Linked DNA regions of Macaca fascicularis. The protein of the gene in region 1 interacts with the protein of each later gene in a biochemical or structural test. Links are inferred from orthologs where the notes say so. Each region holds a gene or a part of one and is shown on either strand. Other genes may lie near its edges. The genes, in order: VCPIP1 and WAC.

Region 1 (4,275 bases):
TAACTGGTGACTTGACCTTGGGCAAGTTACTTAATTCCTTTTAGTCTCAGTTTCCCTAATTGTAAATGAAGTCAACACCACCTGGTAAAGGTATTACAGGACTGGTGAGGATGATACATGTGAACATATTACTAAAATGTAAACTATAAGGCAATAGTAAGCAAATGCTAGTTACTATTCTATGTAATACAGGCCTAACCTTTCCTGCCTATGTCCTTATCTGTAAAAAGAGGACGGATTGAGATCTGAAGGTCTATCCAGTCACTTATCAGCTGCGTGAACTTTGGCAAGTCATTTCCTTTCTGGGCCTGTTTCCTAAGAAGGTTATTTTTAAGATCAAATGATAATCGTGTTATGCAAATGCTGTCCAGGCACATATTAAGCACTTTATAAATGATAGCTCTTATTACTCTGTAGGGGGCTAGGGTGGTAAAGAACAAATGAAATTAAACCTAGTTAAGAGGCTTTGTACATGCACATAAAACTCTACAGACATCCAAGGTACCGTTATTTGTACTGTAAACTGCCAAGACACGCAGGAAACGGGAACTCAAATGGCGCCTCAGTGACTCGCACTAGAGAGGGGGAGAAGGCAGAGCTTCCGAGAATCAACTATTTTCCCCCTTATGGCTTTCAGCCTAGATTGGACCATTTATTCAATTTCCCAGCCCACAGTATCCCTGGACATTTATTTACTGTACCTTTTTCACTGAGATCCTTTCCACTCCCCTCCCCTTCTAGTAGTCGTGAACTTCAGACCCTCTCCTTCGACTCCCACTGCCTTTAACTCTGGTTTTAACCAAGCTTCCCTGAATCCTTCCCTCCGCCTAAGGAGGAAGTGCAGCTGGACGCACCGCACGGCATCCTAGGAAATGTGGTCTCTCAGACTCTTTGGCTTGGGCTGCAGAGTGGGGAAGAAGACGAAGGGGAGCCCAGCAAAACTACAACTACCGGCAGGCAACGCGAGTCACCATCTTTCTTTGGCCCCTTTTCCTCTTGCCGTCCTCTTCCTCCTCCCCGCTAGCGCTGAACCGCTTGGCCTCACGGTACTTGTAGTTCCTTCTGGACTCAAGATCCTAGGGCTCGATGGCCAGCACAGAGGCTAGGAGACTCTAATTCCCAGAGGGCAGAGCGGAAGCTGCGCCTGCGCACACGCAATGAGGGCGTGTATGTCTGTGTCTGAGGGAGAGAGCGAGAGTGAGTGAGTGTGAGTGCGGGGTGGGGTGGTGGCCGTTACGTTCGGGGCAACGGCTACGGCAGTGGAGAAGTAAGAAGAGAAACAACGTCCGGCGCTTCCGCCTTCGCTTAGGAGGAGGAGGAGCTGGTAGGGAAAGGAAAGTGTTTCACCCTGGGCCTGGATTAGACCGAGTCGGGTTGGTGGGGGTCTGGGCTATGAGCTTTTGAGGGTCGCTTGGGACGCGGAGCAAGACACGAGAGCCGGGAGCTATGTCTCAGCCGCCGCCGCCGCCTCCGCTGCCGCCGCCACCTCCTCCCCCTGAGGCTCCACAGACTCCGTCGTCCCTGGCGTCGGCGGCTGCTTCGGGAGGGCTTTTGAAGCGGAGAGACCGGAGAATCCTTTCCGGGAGCTGCCCGGATCCGAAGTGCCAGGCGCGTCTGTTCTTCCCGGCCTCCGGTTCTGTCAGCATCGAGTGTACCGAGTGCGGCCAGCGGCACGAGCAGCAACAGCTGCTGGGGGTTGAGGAGGTGACCGACCCGGACGTAGTGCTACACAACCTGCTGCGGAACGCGCTGCTCGGGGTGACGGGGGCACCCAAGAAGAACACGGAACTGGTAAAGGTGATGGGCCTTTCCAACTATCACTGCAAATTGTTGTCGCCCATATTAGCTCGCTATGGAATGGACAAACAGACAGGCCGGGCCAAGCTTCTCCGGGACATGAACCAGGGCGAACTGTTCGATTGCGCCTTACTGGGCGACCGCGCCTTCCTCATAGAACCAGAGCATGTTAACACTGTGGGCTATGGCAAGGACCGCTCCGGAAGCCTCCTGTATTTGCATGATACTCTGGAGGACATTAAGCGGGCCAATAAAAGTCAGGAATGTCTCATTCCAGTGCATGTGGACGGGGATGGACACTGCCTGGTGCATGCTGTGTCTCGTGCTCTAGTAGGCCGAGAGCTCTTCTGGCATGCCTTAAGAGAGAATCTTAAACAGCACTTTCAGCAGCACTTGGCCCGATATCAAGCTCTGTTCCATGACTTCATTGATGCCGCTGAGTGGGAGGACATTATCAATGAGTGTGACCCTCTGTTTGTACCACCTGAGGGTGTTCCCTTGGGCCTGAGGAATATCCACATATTTGGTCTTGCCAATGTGTTACATCGTCCTATTATTCTGTTAGATTCCCTCAGTGGCATGAGAAGCTCTGGTGATTATTCAGCCACCTTTCTACCTGGGCTCATCCCTGCAGAGAAATGCACTGGGAAAGATGGTCATTTGAACAAACCAATCTGTATTGCATGGAGCAGCTCCGGTAGAAACCATTATATCCCCTTGGTAGGCATAAAAGGGGCTGCTTTGCCCAAACTGCCTATGAATTTGCTTCCTAAAGCATGGGGTGTGCCTCAGGACCTTATTAAAAAGTACATCAAACTTGAAGAGGATGGTGGTTGTGTTATTGGAGGTGACAGAAGTTTGCAAGATAAATACTTACTTAGGCTTGTTGCTGCTATGGAAGAAGTCTTTATGGACAAACATGGTATCCATCCTAGTTTGGTTGCTGATGTCCATCAGTATTTCTACAGAAGGACTGGAGTGATAGGAGTTCAGCCTGAAGAAGTCACAGCAGCTGCTAAAAAAGCAGTAATGGATAATCGCCTTCACAAATGTTTGCTCTGTGGTGCCCTTTCTGAACTTCATGTTCCTCCAGAGTGGTTGGCTCCTGGAGGGAAATTGTATAACCTGGCAAAAAGTACTCATGGACAGCTGAGGACTGACAAAAATTATAGCTTTCCCTTGAACAATTTGGTTTGCTCATATGATTCAGTGAAAGATGTTCTGGTACCAGACTATGGATTGAGTAACCTAACAGCTTGTAATTGGTGCCATGGCACATCTGTGCGAAAGGTCAGAGGAGATGGTTCTATTGTGTATTTGGATGGAGACAGAACTAATTCTAGGTCCACTGGTGGCAAATGTGGTTGTGGATTCAAACACTTTTGGGATGGTAAGGAGTATGACAATCTACCAGAAGCTTTCCCTATTACTTTAGAATGGGGTGGAAGAGTGGTCAGAGAGACAGTATATTGGTTCCAGTATGAAAGTGATTCATCTTTGAATAGTAATGTTTACGATGTTGCAATGAAACTTGTTACCAAGCACTTTCCAGGTGAATTTGGGAGTGAAATCCTAGTTCAGAAAGTTGTCCACACTATATTGCATCAGACTGCCAAAAAGAATCCCGATGATTATACTCCTGTAAATATAGATGGTGCTCATGCCCAAAGAGTTGGAGATGTTCAAGGACAAGAATCAGAGTCTCAGCTCCCAACTAAAATTATTCTTACCGGACAGAAAACAAAAACTTTGCACAAGGAGGAGTTAAACATGAGTAAAACTGAAAGAACTATTCAACAGAATATTACGGAACAGGCTTCTGTAATGCAGAAACGGAAAACAGAGAAGTTAAAACAAGAACAAAAAGGGCAACCCAGGACTGTTTCTCCCAGTACCATTCGTGATGGTCCATCCTCTGCACCTGCTACACCTACCAAGGCTCCCTATTCACCTACAACTTCTAAGGAGAAGAAGATCCGAATCACAACTAATGATGGACGACAGTCCATGGTTACCCTTAAGTCTTCAACAACCTTTTTTGAACTTCAGGAAAGTATAGCCAGAGAGTTCAACATTCCTCCATATTTACAGTGTATTCGATACGGGTTTCCTCCTAAAGAGTTAATGCCACCACAGGCAGGAATGGAAAAGGAACCAGTTCCTTTACAGCACGGCGACAGAATTACAATAGAAATTCTAAAAAGTAAAGCTGAAGGTGGTCAGTCTGCTGCAGCACACTCAGCCCACACTGTGAAACAAGAAGATATTGCTGTTACTGGTAAACTGTCATCTAAGGAACTTCAGGAGCAAGCTGAAAAAGAAATGTACTCCTTGTGTCTTTTAGCAACATTAATGGGTAAGATACATTTAATTCTGATGGTATATCTTAATTGTAAATATAATACACTGAGTTTTCCTGTTGTCTTTGGGGGAAAAGAAATCTGTGGCCATTGTAAGTTTTTAATTATATATTTCAGG
Region 2 (3,821 bases), on another chromosome or scaffold:
AGGCTTTCCCAGTAGCTTAACTGTGACCCTATACAGATGACTTTTAGATAGTTCTATACTGCTGTATTGTGTTAGCACTTTTCTGTGTTCATTAACAACACAACTTTAAATGACATTTGTTGAATGAATGGTTTTCATTTGATTGATTTTCCTATTTTTTATTTCATGCTATGAGGTAGCAAAATAATTGAACTGTTGTTTTTATTGTTGTTTTCTAAACAAGCATTTCAGAACTTATACCTCCAAATGAGAGTTGTTCCCTTCAAACTAATCACCTTGGGAAGCTGTCTACTTACTCCAGCAATGTTGCCATTGCTCAGAACATTTTTGGGAAATTCTTCTTTTAAATTGTTTTTAGAGGCTGCAGTATTATTTTAAATATCCTCAGTGATGAAAACTCTTCATCCTTTGGGAGATTTAGTTTTTGGAAATAACTGAAATTCATTCAGAGCCAAGTCTGGTGAAGCAGGTAGGAGATCAACTTGGGTGATTAAATTTTTTGGTTCTCGCCACCATATCCCCAACCCTGGCCCAAACCATTCAGTTTTAAAAGAAGATAAACAATCTCAGAGTGTTATTTTTTTGGTTTTGTTTTGCCACTATGCTTGCTCAGTGCTATCCAACAAAATGTTTGTATTTTGCTTCACATTATTTCACCCTCTGATTCAGCAGTTCTGACGTTGAACAAAGGCAATATATATTTTCCCCTTACCTAGATGTATATGAGACAGTCTTCACATGTGCATTATATCTATAGCTGTTAAAATGTGACCATTTTTTAGTTATATTCTTATTAGTGTTTGTGGTACACAAAGTTAACAGGTTCTGCTCTCAGATTTGGAGAGTACAGTTTACATTAGACTCTGACAGTCGTGTTAAAAAGGCTTTTTCCCCCTAAAGTGTTTTGAGGAATAATATACTTTGGATTGTTAATTCTCTTTATTTGATGTTAAAATAACAAATTTTTCTTAGGAATTTGGGTATCTTTAAGTTAATAAAAGGTACTAACATGCAGTTTATAGGATAAGGATACCCAGAAACTACTTTTAAACATATTACACATTCAATTCTGTTTTCTAGTAGCCAGAGAAGTCCTTCACCTGGTCCCAATCATACTTCTAATAGTAGTAATGCATCAAATGCAACAGTCGTACCACAGAATTCTTCTGCCCGATCCACGTGTTCATTAACGCCTGCACTAGCAGCACACTTCAGTGAAAATCTCATAAAACACGTTCAAGGATGGCCTGCAGATCATGCAGAGAAGCAGGTATGTTAACGTACAGCCTAGATTTTACCTTTGGGTGATTAGCAAAACAGAACTTAATCAACTTCTAGAAAATCTAATGTAGACCACTGAATTCAAGCAATACTTAAAATAACAAATCTCTAACTTTGTAGTCATTTAAAAAATATTTGACATATAAGGTAACTTTTTTGGTTTTACAAAATATTTTAACATAATTATAGCCCCTGTTGTCAGGTACTCAGCAGTTAGCTCAGTGCTTATTGCCTTATATTTATTTTCTCTACTTCTTAAAACAGCTAAGCAGTGTAGATAAGAGTTTTCTCATTTTGCCATTGAAGTCCTTAAGACCAAATAGTCCATAAAACCTTGATCCCAAGGTCACCCCATTAACACAGTGATGTGGCTCAAAGCCAGTGTACTTTTTCCACTCAGCTGCTCTGATAGTTTCAGAATCCATTAGCACCGTTAATCTACTGGCCAAGTGCAGTGGCTCATACCTGTAATCCCAACACTTTGGGAGGCCGAGGCAAGTGGATCACTTGTGGCCAGCCAGGAGTTGGAGACCAGCTTGGCCAACATTGGTGAAACTCCATCTCTAACCATAAGTACAAAAATTAGCCAGGCGTGGTGGCATGTACCTGTAATTCCAGCTACTCGGGAGCCTGAGGCACCAGGATTACTACTTGACCCCAGGAGACAGAAGTTGCAGTGAGCCGAGATTGTGCCACTGCACTCCAGCCTGGGTGACAGAGTAAGACTCTGTCCCCCCCCCGCCAAAAAAAAAATGTTTTATTTTGCTTTGGGGTGAGACACCTTAGGACATTCCAGTTACTGTTGATTTGCCTCTTTTTATCAGATAACTGACCATCTGGGGTGTTCGAAAGTTTGCAGAGAATATGTCGTGTGTCTTACCATAGAGAGGAGTATAGTGAGGCTCTTGAATCAATACCTAATTCCTGAACTTGCAGAAATGACAGTCTCTTTGGCTGACCCAGCATCTTTTATTAACCACAAATTATGCGTCATTCTTTCTTAGTGCTGTATTAGCTTCAGATTGGAAATCCTATTTTCTCCAACTTGGAAGAGAAATACTAAAATAAGTACCTTCCACCCTTATAGACAGTTTCTTAAAAGAAATTAATTTTCCCCATTAGATTCACCAGCATTTTTGTGTATTTAAGGGAGAAGGATTATTCTCTAATCTTAAATATAAAATTTTACTCAGAAATGTAATGTTTTATTTTGTGTATGTTAATGTTTATATTTTATGTTTTGTTCATTAATTACAGGCATCAAGATTACGCGAAGAAGCGCATAACATGGGAACTATTCACATGTCAGAAATTTGTACTGAATTAAAAAATTTAAGATCTTTAGTCCGAGTATGTGAAATTCAAGCAACTTTGCGAGAGCAAAGGTAAGTCTTTCACTGAAATACATTTTTATGTTGCTCAGGATTATGATTCTTAAATCGAACTAAAGAATGTAAATGACATTTTATTTATGAAATGTAAAGTTCTCTTTGATACATTGATCACATTCTATCATTGCATTTTCATAAGTTATTAATATTCCTCGTGATGGATAAAGCCTGTCGATTTTCTCTTAACCCATGATGAATGCTTCATTAGACTTTTCTCATAACTCCATAAGCTGCAATAATATATTAAAAAAATGAAATATTGACCACAACTGATTATAAATGTTCTCTCTTGCTGAGGGTGTTTCCATTGAAATTTCTGATTATTTGTCCTTGCATCACCAATAGATCTCTTGAAAAGTATAGAAAGAATTTGTCTAGCAAGTTTAGTGTATCTGCTGTCTCAGTATTTTTCACCTGAACTCTTGTGTCGCATTTCTTGATCTAGTGTTTCACTCAAGTAGAATATCTACGTCACAATAATAATAGCATAGGTATTTTTTTTTTAATGCCTATTACAGAATTGAGGACAGACTTGGCAGTGGCTTTATGTCCTGTCTGTGCAAGTCACAGAGTTACAGGTAGAGTTAATCTTGTCAAGAAACCATAAATATTTAGTAAATACCAAATGGAGTTTATAGTACAACTTGAAAAAGTAAGTTTATTTACAGTTACTAAAATATCTAGAGGTACTCTTTGAGTAACAACTTGGGTTCTTGTACTCTCAGATTGCTCTGAAAGTAATTCTAACATAAACTTCATTTTGGCTTGTTACATCATTCTACTTTTAGGAATTCATTATTGCATCTTAGGAAACAGTATATACAGTCAAATATCAAGCCAGCCTGATTATGCCTAATTCATGGCTACAGGCAATAAATATTATAGTTCCCAGAAGAGAGGAGTAAAAACAGGAAATATTTTTACATTCATGGGAATCTGGGTAACTGTGGGGTTTGTGTGTTTCAGTTTTTGGTTTTTGGCTTCATTTTTATGTACCTACATCTACATTGAGAATTGCTCTTCTAAATGATTAATCTCTTACACCTGGTTAATTCTACTCTTTACTATATAGTGGGCCAGAAAACATGCAGTATAGGTTTATTTCATGTATAATAGCTACTGCTTTCTTTGTGATGATACGGTTTATAA

What was found.
Region 2: the proteins of VCPIP1 (region 1) and WAC form a complex in vitro, tested with the Homo sapiens proteins (2 studies listed by BioGRID). The link is inferred for Macaca fascicularis from reciprocal best matches to the Homo sapiens genes VCPIP1 and WAC.

The regions. Positions count from the first base shown.
Region 1 is NC_088382.1:76,653,427-76,657,701, reverse strand, and holds the start of VCPIP1 (deubiquitinating protein VCPIP1), read left to right. Parts: upstream 1-1,199; 5' UTR 1,200-1,446; coding exon 1,447-4,153; intron 4,154-4,275. UniProt on the Homo sapiens protein: Deubiquitinating enzyme involved in DNA repair and reassembly of the Golgi apparatus and the endoplasmic reticulum following mitosis. Necessary for VCP-mediated reassembly of Golgi stacks after mitosis.
Region 2 is NC_088383.1:29,313,444-29,317,264, forward strand, and holds part of WAC (WW domain-containing adapter protein with coiled-coil), read left to right. Parts: intron 1-223; coding exon of another isoform or gene 224-347; exon of another isoform or gene 348-464; intron 465-1,080; coding exon 1,081-1,270; intron 1,271-2,538; coding exon 2,539-2,666; intron 2,667-3,821.